Linked DNA regions of Danio rerio. The protein of the gene in region 1 interacts with the protein of each later gene in a pairwise test. Links are inferred from orthologs where the notes say so. Each region holds a gene or a part of one and is shown on either strand. Other genes may lie near its edges.

Evidence for each region.
Region 2: the proteins of abi2a (region 1) and ift20 interact in binary tests that used the Homo sapiens proteins (3 or more experiments, as listed by UniProt). The link is inferred for Danio rerio from reciprocal best matches to the Homo sapiens genes ABI2 and IFT20.
Region 3: the proteins of abi2a (region 1) and gcc1 interact in binary tests that used the Homo sapiens proteins (3 or more experiments, as listed by UniProt). The link is inferred for Danio rerio from reciprocal best matches to the Homo sapiens genes ABI2 and GCC1.

What each region holds. Positions count from the first base shown.
Region 1 is NC_133184.1:13,877,508-13,886,101, forward strand, and holds the start of abi2a (abl interactor 2a), read left to right. Parts: upstream 1-2,892; coding exon 2,893-3,009; intron 3,010-8,594. UniProt on the Homo sapiens protein: Regulator of actin cytoskeleton dynamics underlying cell motility and adhesion. Functions as a component of the WAVE complex, which activates actin nucleating machinery Arp2/3 to drive lamellipodia formation.
Region 2 is NC_133190.1:26,248,543-26,257,010, reverse strand, and holds the start of ift20 (intraflagellar transport protein 20 homolog), read right to left. Parts: upstream 5,142-8,468; 5' UTR 5,082-5,141; exon of another isoform or gene 5,078-5,081; intron 1,816-5,077; exon of another isoform or gene 1,812-1,815; 5' UTR 1,772-1,811; coding exon 1,645-1,771; intron 1,535-1,644; coding exon 1,449-1,534; intron 1,380-1,448; coding exon 1,276-1,379; intron 477-1,275; coding exon 395-476; 3' UTR 1-394. Other genes in the region: cell cycle checkpoint protein RAD1, read left to right, coding at 6,175-6,369, 6,453-6,561, 6,636-6,894, 8,187-8,285. UniProt on the Homo sapiens protein: Part of intraflagellar transport (IFT) particles involved in ciliary process assembly. May play a role in the trafficking of ciliary membrane proteins from the Golgi complex to the cilium.
Region 3 is NC_133179.1:20,654,414-20,662,864, forward strand, and holds the start of gcc1 (GRIP and coiled-coil domain-containing protein 1), read left to right. Parts: upstream 1-3,310; 5' UTR 3,311-3,431; intron 3,432-5,005; 5' UTR 5,006-5,020; intron 5,021-5,232; exon of another isoform or gene 5,233-5,235; 5' UTR 5,236-5,283; coding exon 5,284-6,375; intron 6,376-7,919; coding exon 7,920-8,451. Other genes in the region: uncharacterized protein zmp:0000000938, read left to right, coding at 1-794. UniProt on the Homo sapiens protein: Probably involved in maintaining Golgi structure.

The DNA of each region.
Region 1 (8,594 bases):
GACATTTTGATTCATCGTTTTAGAGATTTTTAAATATTTGATTAAGCATTGCAAAATACAGTACAATTGTAAAATGGTATTAAAACTCAAACAAGCTGTTTTTTCTATCTTTTTAAAATGTCATAATTAAATTAATTCCTGTGATGACAAAGTTAAATGGTCTTTCATTAATCACTAACGTCTCATAAATCACTAACTCTGATTTGCCAGAGAGACAGAGAGAGAGAGAGAGATGATTTTCTCAAGCCACCATAAATGTGATATAATAAATATTATATTATTTATATTTACACACACACACACACTTTTTTTTACTGCTATCTATTGTGTGTACTGTTTTTTATTATATATGTTACTTTTTATGTAAACTCTATAAATGATTTGGCAATTCATTTGTAACATTTACTTTGACTTTGGCATTTCTCACAACACTATTTACATTTGCACAACAATTAATGCATTTCTCAAAACAATTAGTCATTTGTGGACATCCAGCCTGATCTCACGAGAAAACGTAAGTATTTTAGGTTTTGCCAGTATAGTGGCTAATTCGTACGAATTCGCAGGAGTTCAGTCGTACGAAATTGTACGAATTTAAAAAGGAGGCGTGGCACCTAACCCCACCCCTAAACCCAATCGTCATTTGGGGGTGAGCAAATCGCACTAATTAGATCGTACGAATTCATACGAATTAGCCACTACATCAAAATGTTACGAATTGCCGTGAGATCATAGTAGCAGATTCTCATTCCTTCCAACAAATTGCAAATGCTTTTGGACATGCATCAATTGCTTTAATACAACACTCTGTCTGCTGTTTGTAAAATTATAATTTGCTTATGTCATGTCAGTCAAAATTAACTAAACTTGTAAACGCTGAATAGTCATTCCACATAAAACTAATAGTCCTCATTTCATTACTTGAGTCCTGACATACAAAAATGTTGAACTAGTTGTCAAAATCTGTAAAGCAAAATTTGTTTAAAAAAGAATTCCTTGAAAATGTCTTCCAAATTTAACAATTTTATGAACGATTTACAGACCTATGCATGCTGTTCAGTATACTGCAATATTGTTTACAGTTGTGCACAGGTCTACTCAATGAAAGTTTATGTTTGTTGTAAATAAGGGTGTATTTATTCTTTCGCACAATGGTGTGAATAAATTAGAATTACAAAAAGCATATGCAGTAAAAATATTAAACATTCATATTCAGTGTCTTGCACTCACATACCTCACTAAATGCAGTGATGCATCTTTACATCTCTACATCTTTACTGTAGTTTTCTAATGGCTGTGCAAATAGTATCTAGTGCTGTCTTGAGCATTTTCAGGAAGTGTCACCAAAATCTGACTTATTCAGCATTGGAAAATATTTACAGAGTAAACTCTCATAATGAAAACATGACAAAGACATTTGACTATCATGTTCATAAACAATGGTGGCAGGACTTTTCATCTTGATGACACTGACACTTTCATTGACGTGAATACTTGCTTTTGGGGAATGAGCTATCCATTTTGAGCAAGTGACTTACTTTTGCAGGTTATCAAATAGGTTTTGCAGTTTGTAATAATTGTTTTGAGAAATGTATCAACCGTTTTGCAAATGTAAATAATGTGAGAAATACACCAAAGCCACTGACAACATTAAATGGAATTGAGAGAGAGAGAGAGAGAGAGAGAGAGAGAGAGAGAGAGAGAGAGAGAGAGAGAGAGAGAGAGAGGTGTAAACCATGACCATAATGATGATAATACATTTCAGACAGACAGACAGACTGGATGGATGGATGGATGGATGGATGGATGGATGGACGGACGGACGGACGGACGGACGGACGGACGGACGGACGGACAGACAGACAGACAGACAGACAGACAGACAGACAGACAGACAGACAGACAGACAGACAGATAGATAGATAGATAGATAGATAGATAGATAGATAGATAGATAGATAGATAGATAGATAGATAGATAGATAGATGATGTTCTTTTGTAATTTTTGAACATCTATATAAAATACAAATAAATGAAAATGTTGATCTGCAAAAACATTCATCAAATTGTTTGGATGTTTGTTTTCTAACAGATCATGTGACATTGTAAATAATGATCAAATCAAACAAATAAATTACATTTTAAAACAAAGTTTTCACTATTGACACCTTTATATTGATATAATATTTATCTTTTCACTCTCTTTTGAACAAACAAATGCAACTTGATGAGCTAAAGACCTTAAAAATCAGCACTATTAATCAGAATGAAATGAGTTTATTGAGCATGCTTCATAGTTCCACAACAAATTGATCACATCAACTTAATTGTTTTCTCAAATTTAAGTAGGTTCAACATAAAATAATTAGGTTGTCCCAAAAACAACTTAAGAATTGTGTTGTTTCAACTTATTTTAAATAAGTAGTTTAAACAAGCAACAAAAGTAATTTGAGTGATCAGCCATTTTTGATTGCATGATGTATAATAATCCTAATATTATATTATATTATATTAATTATATTATATTATATTATATTATATTATATTATATTATATTATATTATATTATATTATATTAATTATATTATATTAATTATATTATATTATATTATATTATATTATATTATATTATATTATATTATATTAATTATATTATATTATATAATATTATATTATATTTTATCATATTATATTATATTACATTACATTACATTACATTATATTATATTATATTATATTATATTATATTATATTATATTATATTTCAACTTTTCGCCATAGTAGGATTGGTAGACGCGCTTCCCTGCTTTCCCCAAACTCAACGGGGAGGTGAAGCGGCGGTACTTCCTGTCGCTAGTTGCGCGTGGAGGGAGAGAGAGGGAGATGTAAAGATGGCGGAGCTGCAGATGCTGCTGGAGGAGGAAATTCCAGCGGGTCGCAGAGCGTTGTTGGACAGTTTCACCAACCTTGACAGAGTCGCCGAGTACTGCGAAAGTAACTACGTACAGGTGAGCGGCGAAGGAGTACGCATTGTATGTGTTTGTGGAGTTGGGGAGGCTGGAAGTGTGTGTATGTGTGTGCGGTGGTTGTTGATCATCTGTTGAGGCTCAGCGCTAAGTACGTACAAACAACCGCGGCTTGTCCGTGTTCAGATTAACTATAAAAGTTTATGACACTCGTAGGTGAGGCTTTAAACTAAGCGGTGGCTACTTTTGGAGGGCTTGAACTTCTGTGTGCAGTGATTTGAGCGTGTAGGTAGGTAGTATTCAAGTTACATGATCATTGGGGAAACTTTGCTCTGTCAATAATGAATGCGAGTGAAGCAGCTGACAGCACTGTTCAAAACAACGCGGATAAAATTCAAATCATTTAGTCTTGTAAACGTAGACCTATATTGTGAAAATAGACGACACTTAGCTGATTGTAACCACTTTGAAGTGAAATCTTGACATGCTGTTTGAAGCATATTGTAAGTCTAAACATTACCTTTAGATTATTTTTTGTTTTTATTTTTGTCTAAAATTTCAGTCAGTTTGTAATCTGTAAATAATTCGTATTTTATATGCTTTTTGGTACATTGCAATCATAACTGTTTTGGTGCAATCAATACTGGGGTGATAGTGTTTTTGACATGATGGTTAGTAGCATATCATGTTTTTGGATTAGTATAAATTTCAAAGCAATTTCTTTAAGTGCTGGATAATTGAGCAATTCCATGCAAATATCAACCTTCCCATAAAAAATAGGTTTTTACCAAAATAGACATACAGTTTCTACATTTTTTTTTGTGTAAGTATTTTACAGTACTTTAAAAATACTCAGAAATGTCTCTGTCAATGTTTTCAAACTATTATATTTGATTTACCAAAGTCACACAAGTAGCAATTTTACATCTGTCACATCCATAACGGAGAGGCATCTTATCCATAATAAAGCTTTTCTCTCAAAAATGTCAAATAAAATGAAATCAATAATTTTTGTTTCATACTGAGCCAACTCTTATCTCTTTGATTAACATTACTTCTTTTGGGTTGTACAGTTAGTAGTAGTATGTTATACTGTAAACTCTGCTGACTTTTTTTGCATGTTAACATTTAATGCATGTTTATTTTCTTCTTTTAAAATTTAAAATGTATTTACAGATTGATATTTTTCTGTTCCCATAACGCTGTGGTTAGTTGTTTTGGAAAATATAAACAGATGTTTCGATATTATGTTAACATATACTTTCTATGTGAATTTATGGTTTGAGTTTTTACTACAATTGTCACATCCATGATTCTGGAATTGCTCAATTATGTTTTTTTTATGGGTGACTGAAGAGCCATGCAAATCTTTTTGTCTGTTTTAGATTTTTTTTAAAAATTCAATGGTAAAATCTTAATTTAATCTATATCTCCTGTACACTTTTTCTAAACATAAAAATGCAGATAGAAGCTGTGATGACATTAAACCCAAGCATACAAACTTAATGCAAATGAATTAAGCAAATTGTTAATTATAGAAAGTAAACTTTATTTTGTAGCCTCCATTTTTTCCTGTAATATTCACAATATTCTTTGCACATCTGCTCATACATTATATACTTTACATAATTGTAAAGCAATTTCTATGCCTTCATCTTTTGACTTATATCCAAAAGCAGTTTTTGTGATTCTCAGCACTGATGTATGCAAACTCTCACTTAGGAGTTTGTTAGGAGCAATATTTTTTTTAATAGCAAGGGCCAGTTTTTAAATATTTACATTATGGGATTTTAGAACAGAGTTGTGAAGGAACAAGAGTAATGAGAATGTCATTGAAGCAGACCTTCTGTCACATTTTCCATCCTGTGCTCTTGTAAATTGTGTATTTGGACATGGAATTCTCTGTTCAGTGTGATCAATGAATGTCTATATGGGTAACTAAACTATGCCACCATCTGGAGCTCACTACATATAGGCAGCACAGCATACAAATAATGCTCTTCACATGAAGACTACTTGCGTTTTATTATCCTATATTTAAGCTAATGATGTTTTATGATTTAAAAAAAGCACATAATAGGGATGGGATGATAACCGTTTTCAAGGTTTACTGTGGTTTGAAAAAGTCAGTTTTTTTTCTAAACCGCAAATCTTTTCTGTTATATCGTTCCTGCAATATATATACAGATTTTTTACTTGTTAAAGACTTGTAACTTCATCCAAGCATGCTTTGGACCCGAACAGTGTTTTTCACTGCCTTATTTATATCCAATGAAAAGAAAGATATTCAAAGATGCATTTTCAAGTAAAGAAATCTGTGCTTTTGAAACGAATGAAGAATCAATGATTTATTTTAATTATTTTGACATATTTACTGTTCCAAAATATTGAAATATATTGTGTTCAATGGGGAAAAAGTTGTTGTTGTTACCTAGATATTTAAAAATAATCAGTATACTATAATGCCAATATTGCTATATTATATTAATATTACTAAGTCAGAATATCTACTATTTTTAATCCAAGGTTAGCACAAAATCAGTTTTATCACATCATTTTTTGCTGGGTTCCAGGACATGTTGGACTTTCAGGCAATGAGCGAGCTGATGCAGCTGCTAAAGATGCTTTGAAGCAAGTAGTGATCAAATGCCAAATTCCTCCATCAGAGATGAAACCTTTTATCAACGCTTGCATTTTAAACAAGTGGCAAAAGGAATGGGATGCATTAGAAAACAATAAATTACATGAAATCCAACCTGAAATTTCACACAGAATTTAAAGACATTTTAACAATCGATTTGATCAAGTAGTTTTTACCAGATGTCGTATTGGGCATACGAGAATACCACATGGTTTTTTGCTCCAAGGTGAAAACCCTACCCTTACTGGACTGTCCTGCTTTTACTAATTCCAGAAGCCTTTTTTATGAAATGAACTCTTTGAAGGACATTTTTAACAAAGTGAAAACAGAAAAGATTTTAGAATTTTTATCATGTATTAACACAAAAAATCTTATTTAATTTGTTTTTTTGTTTGTTGATTTTTAAATTGTATATTTATTGTTGAAAGATTCCTGCCATGAAAATAGCCTTGGTTGCTGATATGGCATTAAATAAAAAAATACATTACATTACTAATCCAAGGTTAGCATATCGTCACAAACTGTATCTTATATTAGTTCAATTAGTTAAAACACCTGCAGCAGTCTTCAGTGCGACATTTGATCAATTTAATGAGCCTTTAATGAATAAAAGTATTTATTGATTCATTTGTTACTTGGAACAGTGGAACTGCCATTAAAAGTCATTGAATAATTGTCTGATTATACACGTAGCTTCAAAAGCAGCATGTGTTAATGTTATTTAGTTATATATTAAAAAGGAATATCTGGGTTGTCCTTACATCGGAATTCAATTTCAATCGGTACTGAAATTTAAAAAACGCCCATTTCCATTTGGAGTCTTTTAAAGCGGCGATTCATCAATGGATCGCTCTTATGTCAGCTTATAAACAAACCAGCTGATCGATGTGACTTTAAAACGCTCCAGTGTCCCTCTATATGTGGTTCACTCAGTGAACAGTGGTGAGTTTGAGTAACCGATGACCATCACAGCCAGTCACAGTCATTTCTGTTGAGCATGTGAAAATCAATGGAAAATCTGTGGTTTAAAAACGTGCTCCACAGCTACTAAATGTTTGCTGGAAATAGACATTTTAAAAAATCCAGTATACTGATTGGTATCAAATTCCAGTATCGAGGCAACCCTATAATAGATTCAATAAACGGACAGTTTTTTCATCACATAAATGTAGAACAGTGGCTTTCTGACTACCATAGTTTGAAGCATGACATTCTTTGTAAGGTTAATGTCTGCTTATAGAGAGGTTTATTACACCCAAAAATCATCAGTATAACTCAGGTTTTGAACCCAAGCTGGAAACCAAAGGATCAGAACGAAGTTGCAGTCGGTGTTACATGCTTGTACAGATTTAGCTCTGTTAATTAAAGATATGTCAAACTCTTTGGCATCATCACGTCAGTTGCTTATCTTTATCAGACAAATCATAAGCTTGCTTTCATTGCCTCGTGGAAGATTTCTGGGTCTGTTTATTAGAGTCTGTGAACCTCAGCCTTTGGATCTATTCCTGAAGTGCCAGCACTTGGATTTTAGAGTGAAAGTGTTTTATTTTTTATGTTTTTTTAAGCACAAAGTATACCTCTGTGTTTAGCAGTGTTCTGCACACTGTCTTCTTGATGCTCTTCCATTATTAGGATTGTATAAAAATGTCCACACACCATTCAAGTGCAAAGTGTTATTTCGACTGTAGCAAGCTTGTCCATCAATAGTTGAATATACTTTAAAAGCTATGTGGACACTAGATTGTGTGGGCACAAGATTGAGTGGAACATGACAAGGGAAGTATACGAATGCTTTAAGGTGTGTTTGTAGCGGGGTCTATACTAGGTTGTCCAGCTTGTTTTGATTATCTTTTGTTGTGGAGAGTCCCAGTTGTAGTTGGAACCATGTATGGATGTTATGAAATGACTCAATGGTCTGTTGCGAATCCTCATGGACTCAGGGAAGGTGGGGGACGCACTTTCTAAATGTTTGTTTTAATGGCAACCATGGAGATAATTTGACACACACTTTTCTTAAGGCTTTATTTCCATGTTGAGAATGTGCTGGAAAAACTACACATTTGTTTGTTTATAAGAAACTGATAGGAATTTGTTGTTGATTCATTAGCGTTAGCTTTCTTTAGTATACAGTGACTTATACACGCTTTTTCCCTTCGCGATAACGATTCTGATACTTGAGCTTAGGGTATTGGCGATACTAAATACTGAACCATTATCAGAGCGTGTATAGAAACAGTTGTGTATAACTAGCCCTGTATAAATTAACAGAATAATTCACTGTGTTCTTTAGACTTATACATAAATAAAACATTAACAAATACATACACAGAAGTAGAGTATTTTTATTGTCATACATTTTTTATATCAAATTCATTGGTAATATAATTTGCTATAATTTACTGAAACAACCTCAGCCACAAATCTAAAATTGTAAACAGAAAAAAAAAATTCAAGTTTTACAGCATAAATGTATAAAAATCAGCAAAAAAATAAATATAAACAAGTATGAACATTATAGAAAACATTTTCACTTTTAATAAAATTTTTAGTTCATTATACAGTGTAAAAAAATGCCTTTAAAACATTCAAAATATTTGGTAACAGTAAACATGTTAGGCTAAATATTCATTCATTCATTTTTAAGGACTTCGGGGCTGGGTCGTAGGGGCAGCATTCTTATGAGAAAACCCCATACTTCCCTCCCCTCAGACACTTCTAGCTGCTCCAGGGGGATCTCGAGATGTTCCCAGGCCAGACAAGATACATAGTCCCTCAGCGTGTCCTGGGACTTCCCAAAGGCCTCCTCCTGGTGCGACATGTCTCGGTGTCCAGAAGGCATCCGAAACAGATGCCCAAACCACCTCAGCTGACTTCTCTCGATGTGGAGGAGCAGCACCTCTACTCAGAGCTCCTCACCCTATCTATAAGAGTGTGCCCTGCCACTCTGCGAAGGAAACATTTTGGCCGCTTGTATCCGAGATCTTGT
Region 2 (8,468 bases), on another chromosome or scaffold:
AATCATACAGAAAACAATAGATTTACCTGAAGATGTCACATGATGGAATTATTTACAGTAACATGCAAATACTGTATTTCCCTATTGTAAAAAAAAAGATCAGATTTACAAACTAATTTTCATATAAATAGTATAAATAACATTTGTATATAAATAGTTTCATCTGAGATTATGATCTATGGTTGGAAAGATTACAAGGATGTGCCTCCAGGAACTGGCCATGCAAAAGCACTCAATGCTGTGAGGTTGAGGCTGAAACAGACGTCTGTTGTCTGCCATAACTGCTCAATTCAGTTCATCTAGTTTGAGACCTTGCACTTATTAGGAAGTCAATGTGAATCAAGATGCATAGCATCATTTTTCCTGTCCAGCAGAGAGAGGAAACACAGTGCTCTTATTTCTGCAGTATAAACTGATCAATGAATTCACTCTGCTCAGCTTCCACTTTCTGAAGAGCTTCATATTCTATTCGATACCTGCAAAACAAAAAGACTTTTTAGTCTTGAAGAGAAATTCAGAGCATAAACACAATGCTGTTCACTACTTGAAGTGGCTGTATGCAACATTCAGAAACCCTTGTCATAAGCAATATTGGTGGCCTAAAATGAACGGCATACAGTTCTGGGCAGATTACTTTGAAACTGTAGTCAATTGCTGATTACTGATGATCATGAAGAACTGTGGTTCATTTTAGGTAATGGTTTATGTATTTCAACTACTTTTAGATTACGAACTTTTCACTTACCAACTGATGTAACCACATGTTTATTTTGCTAGCACGCTGAAATTAATCTGTGCTCTGAATTAGTCAATTCAGTGAAAAAGATGTTCAGTGTTTTGATATTCGTTAATTAAATTCTGACCACTTACTATCTACACCTCTGATTACACAAGTTTGGGTGATATATGCTTAACCACGCCCCTCCAACAGTTACTTTGCTGTGAGTGAAAGATAAAAGGAGGAGTCCAAAATGTATGTATGTATGTAAGTATGTTTCATTATTTTAAAATGTTATATACTTCAATTCCAAGTTACAACCTAACTTTCAGAATCTGATTACGTAATGCAGATAACATGTATTTAGTTGCTAACTAGCACTGTGCACATGCCAATGCAAATGCTGTAATAGATTTATGGTGATGCTCTTTCTTTTGTTCTCTTTTAGAAGTAACAAGTTGGAAATTACCATGCAGTAACTGAAAAATGACTGAAAAATAGAACTGAAGAAAAATATCAGACCATAATGATGTATTATGATGTATTATCATATTTACCTTTCCAGTTGCATTTTCTTCTCTGCAATCAGAGCCTGAAGCTGTTGCTGCTGGGCTTCCCGTTGCTTTTCAACCGATTTCAGCAAATTTCTTGCCCCTATGGCCTGAAGGTGAACCATATATAAATACAAAACGCAAATATGCACTGCTAATAGTTTAAAACAACAACGTACCTTCATTTTTTCAGTTTCGGCTTCCTTCGCAAGTTCATCCACAAGTTCAATAAGTCCACCTACAATTTTCTGAAACTGTCCGATCTCTGTTTTCAAAAGCAAAAGGAGAAGTTATTGATCTGGACTGCAAAAAGCAAAGAAATTCAGTTAAGAGAGATAAACTTCACAATGAGATTAAAAAATAAAAAACACTTACTGTCGACAAACTCCTCACATTCCTCTTTGAGCTCAGTTGTTTTCTGGCTCACATCAGGCTCAAGTACTCGCAGTTTGTTGAGCTCATCAAAATGAAGACCAGCCTCTGCTAACGGGTCTTTAGCCATGACCAGAGGACCGTAACCTGCCTGTGTGACTCAATAATGGCTGATAATTATACAGAAACAGAAGTATGTTAAAAGAAAAATATGCATAATTTTATTGTATTCAATACTGACAAATACAGTGTTGATTTTGCAAAGTAAAATGTCTAGACGTGCCAGTATTCAATAATATATCACAACGATAATGAACATACATGCTTTATCACTTTAAAATAAGTAATAATTACTTATTGTTATTGAACTTTCAGAATGCATTTTAAGAATATTCAGTTTGCTGCTTTTGCAATGATGTTCTAAAAAACTTTTTCGCGTTAATCTGATGTACAACATGGCTAAAATGTCATTTAATTAGTTTGAAACGATGTTTTGCTCTGAACATTTATATACCAGCAGGGCCGGAGTGGGACTGCTTTTTAGCCCTGGAGTTTCAAGCCTTAGACCGGCCCACCTCAGTTCACGACTGACTATATTAAAATAACGTCATTTCTAATTTAGTTTCTAATGACAATATACAATCTTTTTCAAGGACACAGCTGCTTTAGAAGTTCAAATGTTTTTCATAAATATGAGAAGATTAAAGGGATAGCTAAATCTCCAACACTATTCTTTACAACGTCCTTTCCTGCAATATCCGAATATATATTCTGTGCAAAATTCTTTATAGATATCCAGTCCTTTGTAAGGGCGGTCACACAAAAAATAAAATATGTACACCTACATAAGTAACCCAATCAGTATTATACTAACACTAAAAATGAAAAGAAAAAAAAAAAAAAGATTATTTAGGTGAGGTTCGAACTCGGGTTGGCAGCGTTGTAACGCAACGTGCGGACCATTTGACCATTTTTTCTCCTCTTTTTAGATTTCTGATCAAGTTATGTCAGATTTATTAATGTACTGAATCATCTGATTTTCATTGAGCAGGTGTAATATTCACTAATATTAATTATTTGAATTCTTATATTCACTTAGGCGCTGCTGTCATCATTAACCTGCAGGCTGCATTTTGCTCACGGGGCTGCTAGAAAATAAATAAAAAGAGCGGAGCTGCGCCAAATAATGAATAAAAAGAGTGAGGCTATGGTCAATAAAAAAAAATTTGGCCTAGTGGCCAAAAAAAATGGACTGGCCCTCCCGGAATTCTCCAGATTAGCCAATCCGGGCCAGTATACAACTATATTGACATATACATTGTTTGTGTGTGTGTATTTGTACAAAGACACAGTTCTAATATTTTGTGCTCTATACAGAAACACAAATTTAAATTGAAACAAACAAGATGTGCTTTAACTGCAGACTGTCAGCTTTAATTTGAGGGTATTTACATCCAAATCAGGTGAACGCTGTAGGAATTACAACAGTTTGCATATGTGCCTCCCACTCGTTAATGGATCGAAAGTAATGGGATAGAATAATAATCATGAATCAAACTTTAACTTTTTAATACTTTGTTGCAAATCATTTGCAGTCAATTACATCCTGAAGTCTGGAAGTCTTCACCTGATTTGAATGTAAATACCCTCAAATTTAAACTGACCGTCTTAATTTCAAATCCGTTGTGTTGATGTATAGAGCAAAAAATGTTAGAATTGTGTTGATGTCCCAATATTTAATGTTCTCACTGTATATATACTGTATATATGTATGTATATATATATATATATATATATATATATATATATATATATATATATATATATATATATATATATATAAAATCTTTTTTAGACACTAGGTCCAATAGTACAAAAGACAATATAAACCACACAATACGTTAAAAAATACAGTTATGCCAATATTTTAAAGGTGACTGATAAAGCACCTCCATAAGCCTAGGGTTTAACATTAAAATGCTATTCTGAGAATTCTCTTATCGACAAATAAACTTATAGATCAAATTTCTCATCCAAAGCAAAAAATGATCAAACTCTTACATCACAAAATAATTCACCTGTACTACACCTAGGCATGGGACGATAACAGTTTTCAAGGTATACCATAGTTGGGAAAAGTCAAGGTTTTAAAACTGCTATAATTTTCTGCTATACAGTTCCTAAGGTATGTGTAAGATTTTTCATTAACATTTTTTGTTGTTGTTGTTTTTTGGGACAACAGTATCTCCAACAGAAAAAAATATTCAAAGATACCTGTTAAATTGTAATGAATTAAGTGTTTTTAAAATAAATAAAGACAGCAGAAGTCATGGATTCATTTGAACTTTTTAGTCTGATTTGTTAACTGCTCCTAAATATTTGAAAAATAAATATTGTGTTCAAAGGGGGGAAAGTTTTAGTTTTTTACCCAGACATTTAAAAAGAATATATTTCAGAGCAGTAATCTTAATACCGTGAAACTGATATTTTTTATTCATGGTTTTCATACTGTCAGAATCCTATACCGGCCCATGCCTAACTACACCATCTATGTTTTTAAGAGAATCTCCATACAATCATTGTATGCAACCTGGAGCTTATGGACACTTTATTTAATTATACCACAGAGGAGCTGTGTATAAAGAACTGCAATAAGTTCTAAAGAGGTTTAACTTTTAACCTGCTCCGAAAACTTTCTCCCTAGCAAATTTGCTTCAACATATAACTTTAAACGTTCCCTGTACATGTACTTTTTATCACTCATATCTTCTGTAATGACATGCCCTAAATATTTAACAGCCTTACTAGCATTTAAATTTTGCCGTGACATCATGTAAACACTCCTTTTTAACCTAACCTTTTTTATTATATTGCACATCATAGTTCTCTCTCTCTCTCATATATATATATATATATATATATATATATATATATATATATATATATATATATATATATATATATATAAACTTATTTTTATCACATGTTAAAGCAACTCTTTATTCCACCACACGAAGATAATACAATATAACGTGATAAATGCTTTAGCAATGATAAACAAAACAATCTGATTCCATCATGACAATCTCTTGCAATAAAGCATATCCCAATTCACAATGAGCTAGCTAACGGATTAGCTAGTTAACGTAGCAGGTTCATTTGAAGTAACGTTACATGAAACTACCACAGTCGTTACATTGCACCAACCACGTAAGCGTAGAGTATGTTTACTTAAAAGAAGAGGTAGAGATGCTATTGTTCACAAAATTCGCTTTGTTGCTGATATGGTCTGGTTGCCATTGAGATAGATAAACACAAACAAACAAACAAACCAGCTGGGAACTCCACAATCTTATTAAACTGTATATACAATATTTACAATTACTGAACAAAATGGCACTTTATAAAGTAAAATAAACTAGTAAATGTCATAACCCTACCTGACTTTTGTTTGGTTATGTGGCACTTCTGTTGGACCGACCGACCGCTTCCTCGCATCTGTCTGGCGACGGCCCGTCCAACTCGTGATGAAACGGAGGGGTGTACGAGTGCATCTTAAATATATTTATGTTTGAGATCTCGCCTTCTTTAAATTAAATAAACACCCTTATGTCTCATAAATAACTGAATAAGCGGTTATGTTATCTGTTTTGCAATAGTGTAGTAACACAAATTCATAGCCAACTTTAAAAACCTACCCCCTCCTAATACTGTAAACGTTTATGTATGAACTCGTCCTGCAGTTCTGCATCAGACCCATATGCGCGCGCGAGACAACTGATGGGAAGCTAAACTTAGTCAAAATCACAAGAAGAAGAGCTAATGGCAACAATTTAAGGGCGCCAAACTCTAAAATGATATTAATTTGTCATATTTCATATATCTAACAGGTGAGTTCAGCAACAGGAACATGTACTGTGTATGTTTAATGTTCGCCCTTTCACGGCCTGACGCCATTTTAGCTAACTAACTTAGTAACGTTAGTAACTTACAACTAGTTGCCAATATTATGTTTATTAATTCTCGTCACAATTTGTAAACAGCTGATAGAAACTTGTTCATGTTTCTGTTAAAGACATTTTCAAGTTCATTAGAAAAATTAACATTCAGATATCTCGTTTTTTTAATAAAAGACGGCGACAATACATTTTTCTGTGTTTAACTTGTTTTTAATTGTTATGGATTCCATATTTTAGTATTATAATTGACAATTATGATTATGTTTGCATTCAAAATAGAACATAGTAGCCATTCTAGCACACATTTAAACAACATTAGTTTTACTTACAAAACAAGTTAGAAAAAATAGTACAAAACAAATATGAAAATGTTAAAACTTCAATCTGATATGCAAATTTGATGTTTTTTTTTTTCCATTTAACGATTGTTATCTGTAAACTATTGGACCAAATACTGCCTACATTCTTTAATTAAATTTAATATTTTAACTTTTCTGTGAATTTATTGTATACAATATTTACTACTTATTTATTTAACATTTCTACTTTGAAATGTCATTACAGATGTAATAACATGCCTCTGTCAACTCAGTCCCAATCCGATGTTGACCAGTACATCCTGATAGCCAGTTTGGACAATGCAAGGAATCTGTCCAACATCCTAAAAGCCATCTCTTTCAAGGATCATGCCATCTTCAATGCAACACAGAATGGGTTGAAAGTCACAGTTGAGGACTCCAAATGCCTTCAGGCCAATGCATTCATTCAGGTTGATGTTAGCAGACAAATTCAGACACTTTCTGCTGAGAACAGTTGAATCTTTAAGCATATTTGTGTATTTTCTGACATCAGGCTGACATCTTTCAAGAATACATCATCAAAGAGGATGCAGTTGGCTTTCAGGTTAACTTAACTGTTCTTCTCGATTGCCTCACCATCTTCGGGGGAAGCACAGTGCCAGGTGTGTATTACAATTGTGATCCAGTCTTTTTTTGGGAAATGTAACATAATCTTTGTTTTTATTTTATCATTAAGGTGTGTGCACCGCCTTGAGAATGTGCTACAATGGATATGGATATCCACTAACTTTGTTCCTGGAAGAAGGTGGTGTGGTCACTGTATGCAAGATTAACACACAGGAGCCCGAGGAGCCCATAGACTTTGACTTTTGCAGTACAAACGTGACCAACAAGGTGATTCTGCAGTCGGACAGTCTTAAAGAGGCTTTCTCTGAGCTGGACATGACCAGTGAGGTTCTGCAGATTACCATGTCACCGAGCCATCCTTACTTCAGGTACAGTAGTTATGAACATGACATGTTTGAAGTGGTTTAAATAAGGGATGTCCAGATCACGTTTTTTTTTTTGTTTTTGCCTCCGAGTCATTTGATTTTGAGTATCTGCCAATACCGAAACTCGATCTGATACTTTTATAATGCATTAAAAAAATAAAGAAGAGCAAAGAAATAAATCCAGTATGTTCCTTATTTTTTATTTAGTTCACTGTATTTTAACATTTAACAAAGATCACTTCTGTGAGGTAGCTTGAACAATCAAGTAATAAGTAACATAAATTCTTCACTTTTGGACTTAAGTGCAACATTAAATATTTAAAAAATCTAATATTAAACCAAAAAGCACCTTATCTTAAAATACTCAGCAGGCAACGCTGCTGTTTCTGTGTGAAGTTAAGAAAGAGGTCTAACTCTGTGACATCGCATAACAATATATGTGTTAAAAAAAAACAAATATATATATATATATATATATATATATATATATATATATATATATATATATATATATATATATATATATATATATTGATCTTGACATCTCTAATTTAAATGTTTATTTTTTTTCCATCTGATAAAAAAATGCTTACAAGGTTTCTTTTATTTTTATAAAAAATTGAAAAATCACAGTACATTTGTGAAATCTTCCCACAATTTACAGTATGTGTTTGCATTGTGATATTTAAGAATGCTGTTCAGTCCTGTGATGGCAAAGCTCAACTTCCAGCACAATGTGTCCAGTCTTCCACATCTCATGATCCTCCAGAAATCATTCAAATGCACTGATTTCCTATTTAAGAACAGTATAAGATTTTTTAGAAATGGTTATTGATACAGTTTTTGTTTAATGGAAAGCTCAAATGAAAAGCATTTATTTGAGGATAACGTTATTTATTTTGATAAATGCAGGTCAGAATATGTTTTCCACTTTTAAACCTTTGGTGATATGATATAAGCATTCAGGGTTTTTTTAACAAATGAAAAAAACAAACAAAAAAATTTGCGGTTTGTTTTTTATTTATTTATTATTAACTAATTTAATGCATTTTAATTAATTTATTTATTTGAATATATGGTTCAAATAGAAAAATAATAAATGTAATTTTATATAATGTAGGTTAAGTGTTTATGTTATTAATTCATATAATTTTGTGAAAAATATTTATTTTTGACTCAGAATAAAAGCAGGACACATTTATATGTGCAAGGAAAAATGATCTGAAGCTGCTTTGTACTTTTTTTGCTTTCGTGCTTGTAAAAGCTTTTAAAAACATTTTTCCTTTTCTTCCTAGATTATCCACATTTGGTAATTCTGGAAATGCCCATTATGATTATCCCAAGGACTCAGACATGATGGAGCTGTTCCAGTGTACAAAAATACAGACCAACAGGTAGCAAAACAGACTAACTTTTCACAGTTGCCTTTTGGTTCTCTTTTTGTTTAGTCCAGATCAAAAACAAAAATGATATGGTTAATCCAGGTTCACTTAGAACTCAGATGACCATTTTGTTCACCTAAAGATGCCAAACATAATGAACCTGTACTTTAGTTTGGTCAATGTTTGCAATTGTTC
Region 3 (8,451 bases), on another chromosome or scaffold:
AACTACATGTGAATGAGAAACCTCCTTATCAAGAACTTTTAAGCTGGCCTAAAATTGAAAACAGTTTATCACTTATAAAAACACAAGCCAAGAAACCTGTAATCTGCCCCCAATGTGGAAAGAGCTTCGCACATAGAGGACACCTAAATGCTCATGTTCGTGTCCACACTGGAGAAAGACCATTCACCTGCTCGTTCTGTGGGAAGAGCTTCAAACAAAAAGAGTACCTGAAAGATCACATGCTAATTCACGGAAAGGCGATCTCATGTCCTCAGTGTGGGAAGAAAATCAGTAATGAAAAGAGTTTGAAAAAGCATAATCTCCTACACACGGGAGTGAGGCCATTCGGCTGCGACCAGTGCGAAAAAACATTTGTTTCAGCTTTCCAACTAAGAAGACATCAGGCGGTTCACTTGACGGAAAAGCCCTTCTCGTGTTCCTCATGCGGAAAGAGTTTTACTCGGATGGATTGTTTGAAAGAGCACCAGAAGTTACATAATGGTGTGAAGGAGCATGTTTGCTCGGTGTGCGGCAGCTGCTTTACTAAAGTGTACTATCTGCAACAGCACCAAAGGATCCATACTGGAGAAAAACCGTACAAGTGTACACAATGTGGAAAGTGCTTCACTCACCGAGCATCACTGGCTACACATGAAAGAGTCCACACTGGAGAACGACCATATCACTGCACTTTATGTGGAAAGAGCTTCAGCCAGTCTGGTGGTCAGCAGACTCACATGAAGAAGCACTGCTCTGTGATGAAGAAGTGCATTACATTGGTTACAGTACAATAAATCAATAAATGAGAATATTTAGGGTCAAAACATTTTACTTTTTAATCAATTGAAGGCAAAATTATTAGCACTTTTTTTAAATCTTTGCATTTTTTCCCCTAATATTTCATAATAAGTAATAAATATCACTTTGGACATTGATTCATTCATTTTCCTTCGGCTTAATCCCTTTATTCATCAGGGGTCGCCAACCTATCCAGCATATGTTTTACACAGCGCATGCCCTTTTAGCTGTGACCCAGTACTGGGAAACATCCATATACTGTCATTCACACTCATACACTATGGCCAATTTAGCTTATTCATTTAATCTATAGCGCATGTCTTTGGATTGTGGGGGAAACCGTAGCACCAGGAGGAAACCCACGCAAACACGGGGAGGACATGCAAACTCCACACAAAAATGCAAACTAACTTAGACGGTAACTTCTTGCTGTGAGGCGACAGTGCTAACCACTGAGCCACTGTGTCACCACTTGGGAAATATAAAAAAAATTTAAGTTTCACAGGAGATAAAAATTTTGACTTCAATTGTACAATTATATATATGTGATGAACCTGAAATAAAATTTCAGCAGTTATTTATTTTAAAAAGGACTAGTTGCTCAATACAATCAGGGGACTTGGAACTATTTTTATAAATGGAAAAATTTAAAAAGTAAAAAGTGTGCTTTTCACAAATGGTTTATTGAAACATATTAGAGCCTCTAAATGAACAACATGTTCAAAACTTTACTGAAAATCCTGTTGTACACAATTACTGCATGCCTTAAGTTCTCTGATTCATGGTGCATACATTGTTTTAAGCAAATATAAAGTGTTTAGAATTGCACTTCCAGGCTGTGATGAACATTTTTTTTGCTGTGTATTGCACACATATACACACACTACTGGTCAAACGTTTGGGGTCAGTAGGACTTTTAAATGTTTTAAAATCAGCTTATTCTCCTGACGAAGGCTGCATTTATTTTATTTGTAAATACAGTAAAAATTGTAGAATTGTGAAATGTTATTGCACTATAAAATAACTGTTCAAAAGTAGTTTATCATGTAATTAATTAATTTATTCCAGTGATTTTAAAGATGATTTTTCAGCTTCATAACTCCAGTCTTCAGAGTCACATGATCCTTCAGAAATCACTCTAATATTAATTATTATTATTAATGGTGATTGTGATAAAAGCAATAATGACTGGAGTAATAATTTAATTTGAAACTACATACAGTAATAAAAGCAGTTATTTAAAATTTTAATAAATGTTTAGCAATTTAACTTTTTTACATTTAATAAATGCTGTCTTGATGAACAGATTAATGAAAAAGAAAGGAAAAAACGGACCCCAAACTTTTAACAGATAGTGTATATAATGCTATAATATGTAATGATTATTTTTTTAATGAATGCCTGTTTCGATGCAACCAGGTTTACATGTTTCATCCATTAACAAAGAATTTGAATCTCTTCTTAATAAGAGGATTTATTTGGGAGATAGATTAATGCATGACAATCGATATGTGTCAGCACTTTATGTATGTATATGTGATTCATATCACATGATGTCAGATTTTCATATTACTCTTTGTGCATATTATTAACAAATCCTACAAATGCTTTACCACCATTTTGGGCCTTTGTTTAATACGTGTAACCTCTGATTAAATCTTGCTTTTGTGTAAATGTTAAAAAAGCCAACTTTTCTTATTTACAATGCTTGAAATAGTATTGGTGTTTTGTGCTGATGACAGTTATTTTGAAAAGAAGAAAAAGAGGAACCTTCAATAAATTATTGCACTTTTTGCCACTCTCTGTGTCTAATTATGAGAATTTTTTTTATTACTATTATTATTATTATTATTATCATAACAACATTTACATTATATCACATTACATGCCAAGGAGCGAGACATAAATGTGTCTTTTAAACAGATTCACAGTTATTGCAGCTTTCTTATTAGTAGATTTAGAAATCAAAGACATACAGATGTAGATCTTCAAGAAAAATCTGAAAGGTTTACGCTTACAAAATGTACATTTGTGTATAACATATTTAGCCAAAAATATAACAAGATTAAATAAAAAATAAACATCTCGATGTTCATTCTGATGCTTATATCCTACAATAACATTTTCATATTTCAACATAACATCAGGGATTATACCACAAAACATACCTAATACATAAATAAGCGCACACAACAAACGTTTTCACGCATAAATCAGCCCTAAATTGTAACAAGAGTATTTTGAATAACATGTAAATTGTTTTAGCATTTAATATATGAACAAACACAAATCAACGAAAATAGTATACATCTCAACAGCAACTTATCTGCTCGTAGTTCATTGTGAAATGTATTTCACAATGTTTTGTCGGCACATTTGTATATTGACAACATTTTAAAATAGAATATTGTGTCAAAATACATCGAATTGTGTTTTTTAATGAAATAGTAATACTTACTTTATAATACACTCGAGCTTTTAATCAACATTCAAACGTCACTTCCCAGTTCCCATCCAGGAAGCGACGTCTGGAAGTAAACACGACACGTACTCGGGTTACTGCAACATTTCAGGCTTTTTCTGCCTTTAAATATATTTATATGAACATGAAACTAACCTAAAAGCACATTCAGGTATGCTTGATTCACAGTTTATTTAACCTATATGTCACGATGTGGGATTTGATACATTATTGTTATACATTTAAACCTTGCTAACTAACTAGCTAAAGACAACCAATGAACTATAATTAACGTTGGTCGGTAACGTTATTTTAATACACCGAACATAATAAGACAGAAACTAGAAAAGTCAACTGTCAGTTATATATGTTTGTCTAATCATTTGTCTCATGATTTTATGTCCAAGTGCTCTCTTATTATGCATAATTAATAAAAGTAGTAGTTAGTAGTAGTCAGTATTTTCCGAACTTGCCGGACAAGAGAAGTGCCAAAGACCAGCAGAAACAAGACATTTTTTGTTATTGCTATTATATTTATTTGTTAGTACAGTCCATTCCATAAAGCGTGAATATTGTTCATAAATAGCAGTAAATAATAGTCAGAATTATTTTAAATACACCAGACAAAAACAATCTCAAAGACTAACAAAAACACAAAATAGGCGTGTTTTTAATAAAGTGTGATACAAACCCTAATGATAATGATAAAACCATTGTGACATAGGGTTTGGCGATCTAGTGTAAAATCAAAATTTGTATTAATTGAACATTTGAACTCAATTGCGAATAATGATTACGATTATTTATTGATTTTTTGCCCTTAGATCACTGATAATAGTTCACTAATATGCTCATTTTATTTTATTTTTTTTACAAGTAAGAGATGCCTCAATGCATTACATGTGGGTGCATTACTTGATTTAAAAATAACTGAAGGAAACACACTCTATGTACTATCTATGATTATTTATTGAACATAAAAGTTGAAGAACTGAAATTAAAACACATTACCTAAAACCAACTTTTCTTGTATAAAAAAGTGAAAATAAACAACTTGCACTTTTGGAAACAAATTAAATTGTTTAATGTTTTTCATATTAAAACTAGAAACTAAGCAGTATCTCTTCTAAATAAAATAATCATTGTATGTCATGTAAATTATATTTTAAACAGTGCATTTCTTGCATCTTCTGTAAACAAATATTTTCATGTAAATAATAACTTTACATGTAATGGAAAACATGCAATCTCAAGGAATCTCTGGCACAGTTTCCAATCATCATCAATGTAGTGCAAAGCTCAAAAATGGGTTCATTGTCCTACTTGACAAGAGATCAGTTATGGCTGCAAAGTGGCTGCAGAAGTATAAATCAGCTTTAACAGAGTGGGGTCACGTGACTCCACACCCAGTAGGGAAAGTAATTGGAAAAAATGGACCTGGAAAAATTAGATCAATTATAGGTTCTGAAACGAGAAATTGACCAGCTTTAGTGTGAATATTGTTCATAAATAGCAGTAAATAATAGTTTGATTTATTTTAAATATACCAGACAAAAGCTCTCAAAGAATAACAAAAACACAAAATAGTTTTAAACATGTTTTAGTGAAGTGTGAAACAAACATTAATGATAATGTTGAAACTATTGTGACATGGATCCAATATAAGATCCATATATGAAGAGTTCAGATGCAAAAACCTCTAAATGCTGTCTGAAAATTTATCCTAAAATGTTCTTTTTTTTCCAGCCTCCTATGTGTAAGGTGAGTTATTTTACTTTAAAATCAATGAAAAGAACTTGTTTGTGACTATAAAAATCAAATTACTCAGCACAAGAGTTGGAGAGAAAAACGCTAATTTGAGAGGAAAATAACAAGATGTTTTTGCATCTGAACTCTTTATATTAAGAAAGATGCTGCTTGATTCATATTGCCCTTCTTCGTTTCACAATCATAATAAATCTGTGTTTACTTAGCAGGTGGAGATCATATCGGAGAGTATGAAACCTGACTGACGGTGATTAACCATGGAGAAGTTCGGTATGAGCTTTGGTGGAGGCCCAAGCAAAAAAGAACTCCTGGAAACCATTGAAGTGCAGAAGAAGCAGCTTGTAAAGTATCAGACACGCTTTAAAGATGTTGTCAGAGCTTACCAAAGCCTGCTTAAAGAAAAAGAAGCCTTGGAAGCCAGTCTGAAGGTTCTGACCATTTCTCAAGAGGTCGATTTAAGTCGTGTTGATAACCTCTCATTTGGTGAAGCTTCAGGAAGCAGAGCTTTGCCTTCTGATCTTGGAGATGACCGATGTTCACTTCATAGTGAAGACAGCCTGGATACAGCAGCCTCTGCTGAAACAGCCACTAGCGTGACGAGCAACAGCACTAAAGGAGACCAAATCGAGGACGATCAAAGCTGTGCTGTAGATGGAGCCACAGCTGGGGCTGTTGTACACACTTCACCCCAGCAGTCTGAGGAGGCAAGTGGGTCTGAAAGTGGCGTAAGCACCAGCAGCAGTGGATGTTCAGAGCCGACACCACAGGTGGCAGACACTGATCGCCGGGTCATCCAACTTAAGACGCAGCTGTCCACACTGACCAGTTCCCTGGCCACTGTTACCCAAGAAAAGTCCAGAATGGAAGCTTCATTTCAGGCGGACAAGCGGAAAATGAAGCAGGAACTGGAGGAGCTGCAGGCTAGGCTGGAGGAAGATAAGAAGCAGCACCAGGCCGAGCTTCAAAACCTGCAGGAGCAGTTTGCGGAGAGCAAAGCAAGAGTCATAACCCAGCAGCATGAACGGGAGCAGGAGCAGGGCGATCATGCGCTCATGCTCCGAGAGCTTCAGAAACTCCTGCAGGAAGAGAGGGGACTGAGACAGGATGCAGAACTCAAACTGGAGGACGCACGGGCGACGCTGGCTGAAGCCATGCAGGCAGCAGACCGAGGGCTAGATTATGAGTCGCAGCTGAAAGAGATCATTCAGGAACGGGATGAGCTGAAGAAGAGCCTGAAGGCTGCAGCGGTGGAGAACAGTAAACCTGACCCACGGGTGGAGGAGCTTCAGCAAGAGAACGCAGACCTCAAAGCTCACTTCAATCAGCAACTTCAGCAGGAAATCAGAAAGGTACGTTTTAAAGAGGTCGTATGTTACTGATTTGTGATGGAAGTCCACATAATGCCTAATATTTGTTGTAGTCATAATAAATACTGGCAATTCTCTGTCAAAGAACAGATTTTTTTTTACAAATCTTGAAGTGCTGACTTTTTTAAATAAAAAAAGTTACAACCTTCTGTTGTTAAAGGGATTGTTTGCCCAAAAAGAAAAATTCTGTCATCACTTATTCACACTTGACTTGTTCTAAACTAGTTATTTTGTCTTGTTTTTTTGTTTTTGTTTTGTTAAACACAAAAGAAGATATACTGAAGAATGCTAAAAACCTTTAAACTTTTTATTTCTTTTAGTAGGAAATGCATGGAAACATGAAAAACACTATGAAAGTCAGTGGGTGCAGGTTTCTAACGTTCTACAGCACATCTTCTTTTGTGTTAAAAAAAACAACTCAAACAGGTTTGTAGCAAGTCAAGGGTAAGTAAATGATGACGTGGGAACTATCCCTTTAAAAACAGGTGAGATAAACCCAGAGCAAAAAAGAGGCATTTATATCTATATGTCAAGTTTACATAAAGAATGCATTTACTTTAGTGCAGTAATTTTCATATAGCTTATGATTTACCTTGCTAGACAACATATTTTAGTCAACGAGAAAGGTGATAACCAGTTTTAGACACAATTTGGATAAAATAAGCTGATTTATAAATGCCAAACAGGTTAAAAAGGCACTAAAAATGTCATGATTGATGGTGGGTTTGTAACTAATAACTAAAAATAAATAATTTTAACTTTTAGAAGGCAACTGGCATGATACAGTAACAATTTATTTTTTTAGTCTTACCAAACCAGTTATATATGCATAGGTGAATTTTACTCACAGGTATTCTATGGGTTTGTATAAGCACGCCATGATTTTGTCAAGTACAATGCAATCCTGGATTAACATCAATGTTGATCATGGAACATGATTTAGAAAATGAAATCCATACCTATTCCCTACCCCTAAACCCATAAAACTTAATACCTAAATAAACTATCAGAGGGAATAATAACAAAATAACAATCATGTAGATGTGCATAAACCTAAATGTAAACCTAAACTTAATATAAACGGTAAATCTATCTCTGATTGGAAGGTTGTTCCAAAATCAACATAGATGTTAATCCTGGAACATGTCCTACTTAGTAAAATCAGGCTGGTGGTTTGTTTACAATGACCCTGGTGCATATTATTCTACTTGGTATTCAAATTACCAACACTATGATTGGTTAATGCCTTACTTTACACATGTACATATAAAAGAACATGGACATTAAACAAGGAATTTCTCTCTATACTACAGTTGCCTGAGTTCCAATGTTGCAGAAGTAGCAAAAAAAATTTCATCCATATGGTGATGTACATCCAAGAATAACTGATTACAATGAATGGATAAAATGTAAGGCAGGAACTTGATTCAACACATTTTGAAGCAGAATCCCTTCAGGAGTAACACTGGACACGCATGGTCTTTTAGTTATGTAAACATTCTTATTTTTTGTCCGCATATTTAAAGGTGGCACAAGCAGATGAGCTTCTCCGAGAGCAGGCGAAGATGGAGGAGATCCGAGTTGCCAGTCTTGAGGAGAGAGTATCTGAGCTCTCTGAACTCTTGGGTGCTTGCGAGAAGGCCAGACAGAAGGACCAACAAAACACTCAGAGGCTACGAGAACGCATCCTTCAGCTCGACACAGAGAACAAAACCCTCGCCATGGCTGCAGTCAACAGGACAACAAGCTCTGATCTAAACATGGATGACATGAACTTGAACGTAGACGCGTTAAAGGACAAACTTGAGAAGGTGAAGAAGTTACTCCTACTGGCTGCACAAAGATCTCAAGACCAGAGCCTAGATATTGAGAAGCTGCTGGAGGGAGGAGAAAAGGACCACGAAGTCTCTGAAAGCGAGAAAGCCTCAGCGCTCCACTACCAACAAGAGCTCCGGCAGATAAAAGAGGAGTTTGAGCGCTACAAAATGAGGGCGCAGGGGGTTCTGAAAAACAAGAACACAAAGGATGGAAACCAGGCCAAAGAGTTAGAAGAAGCAC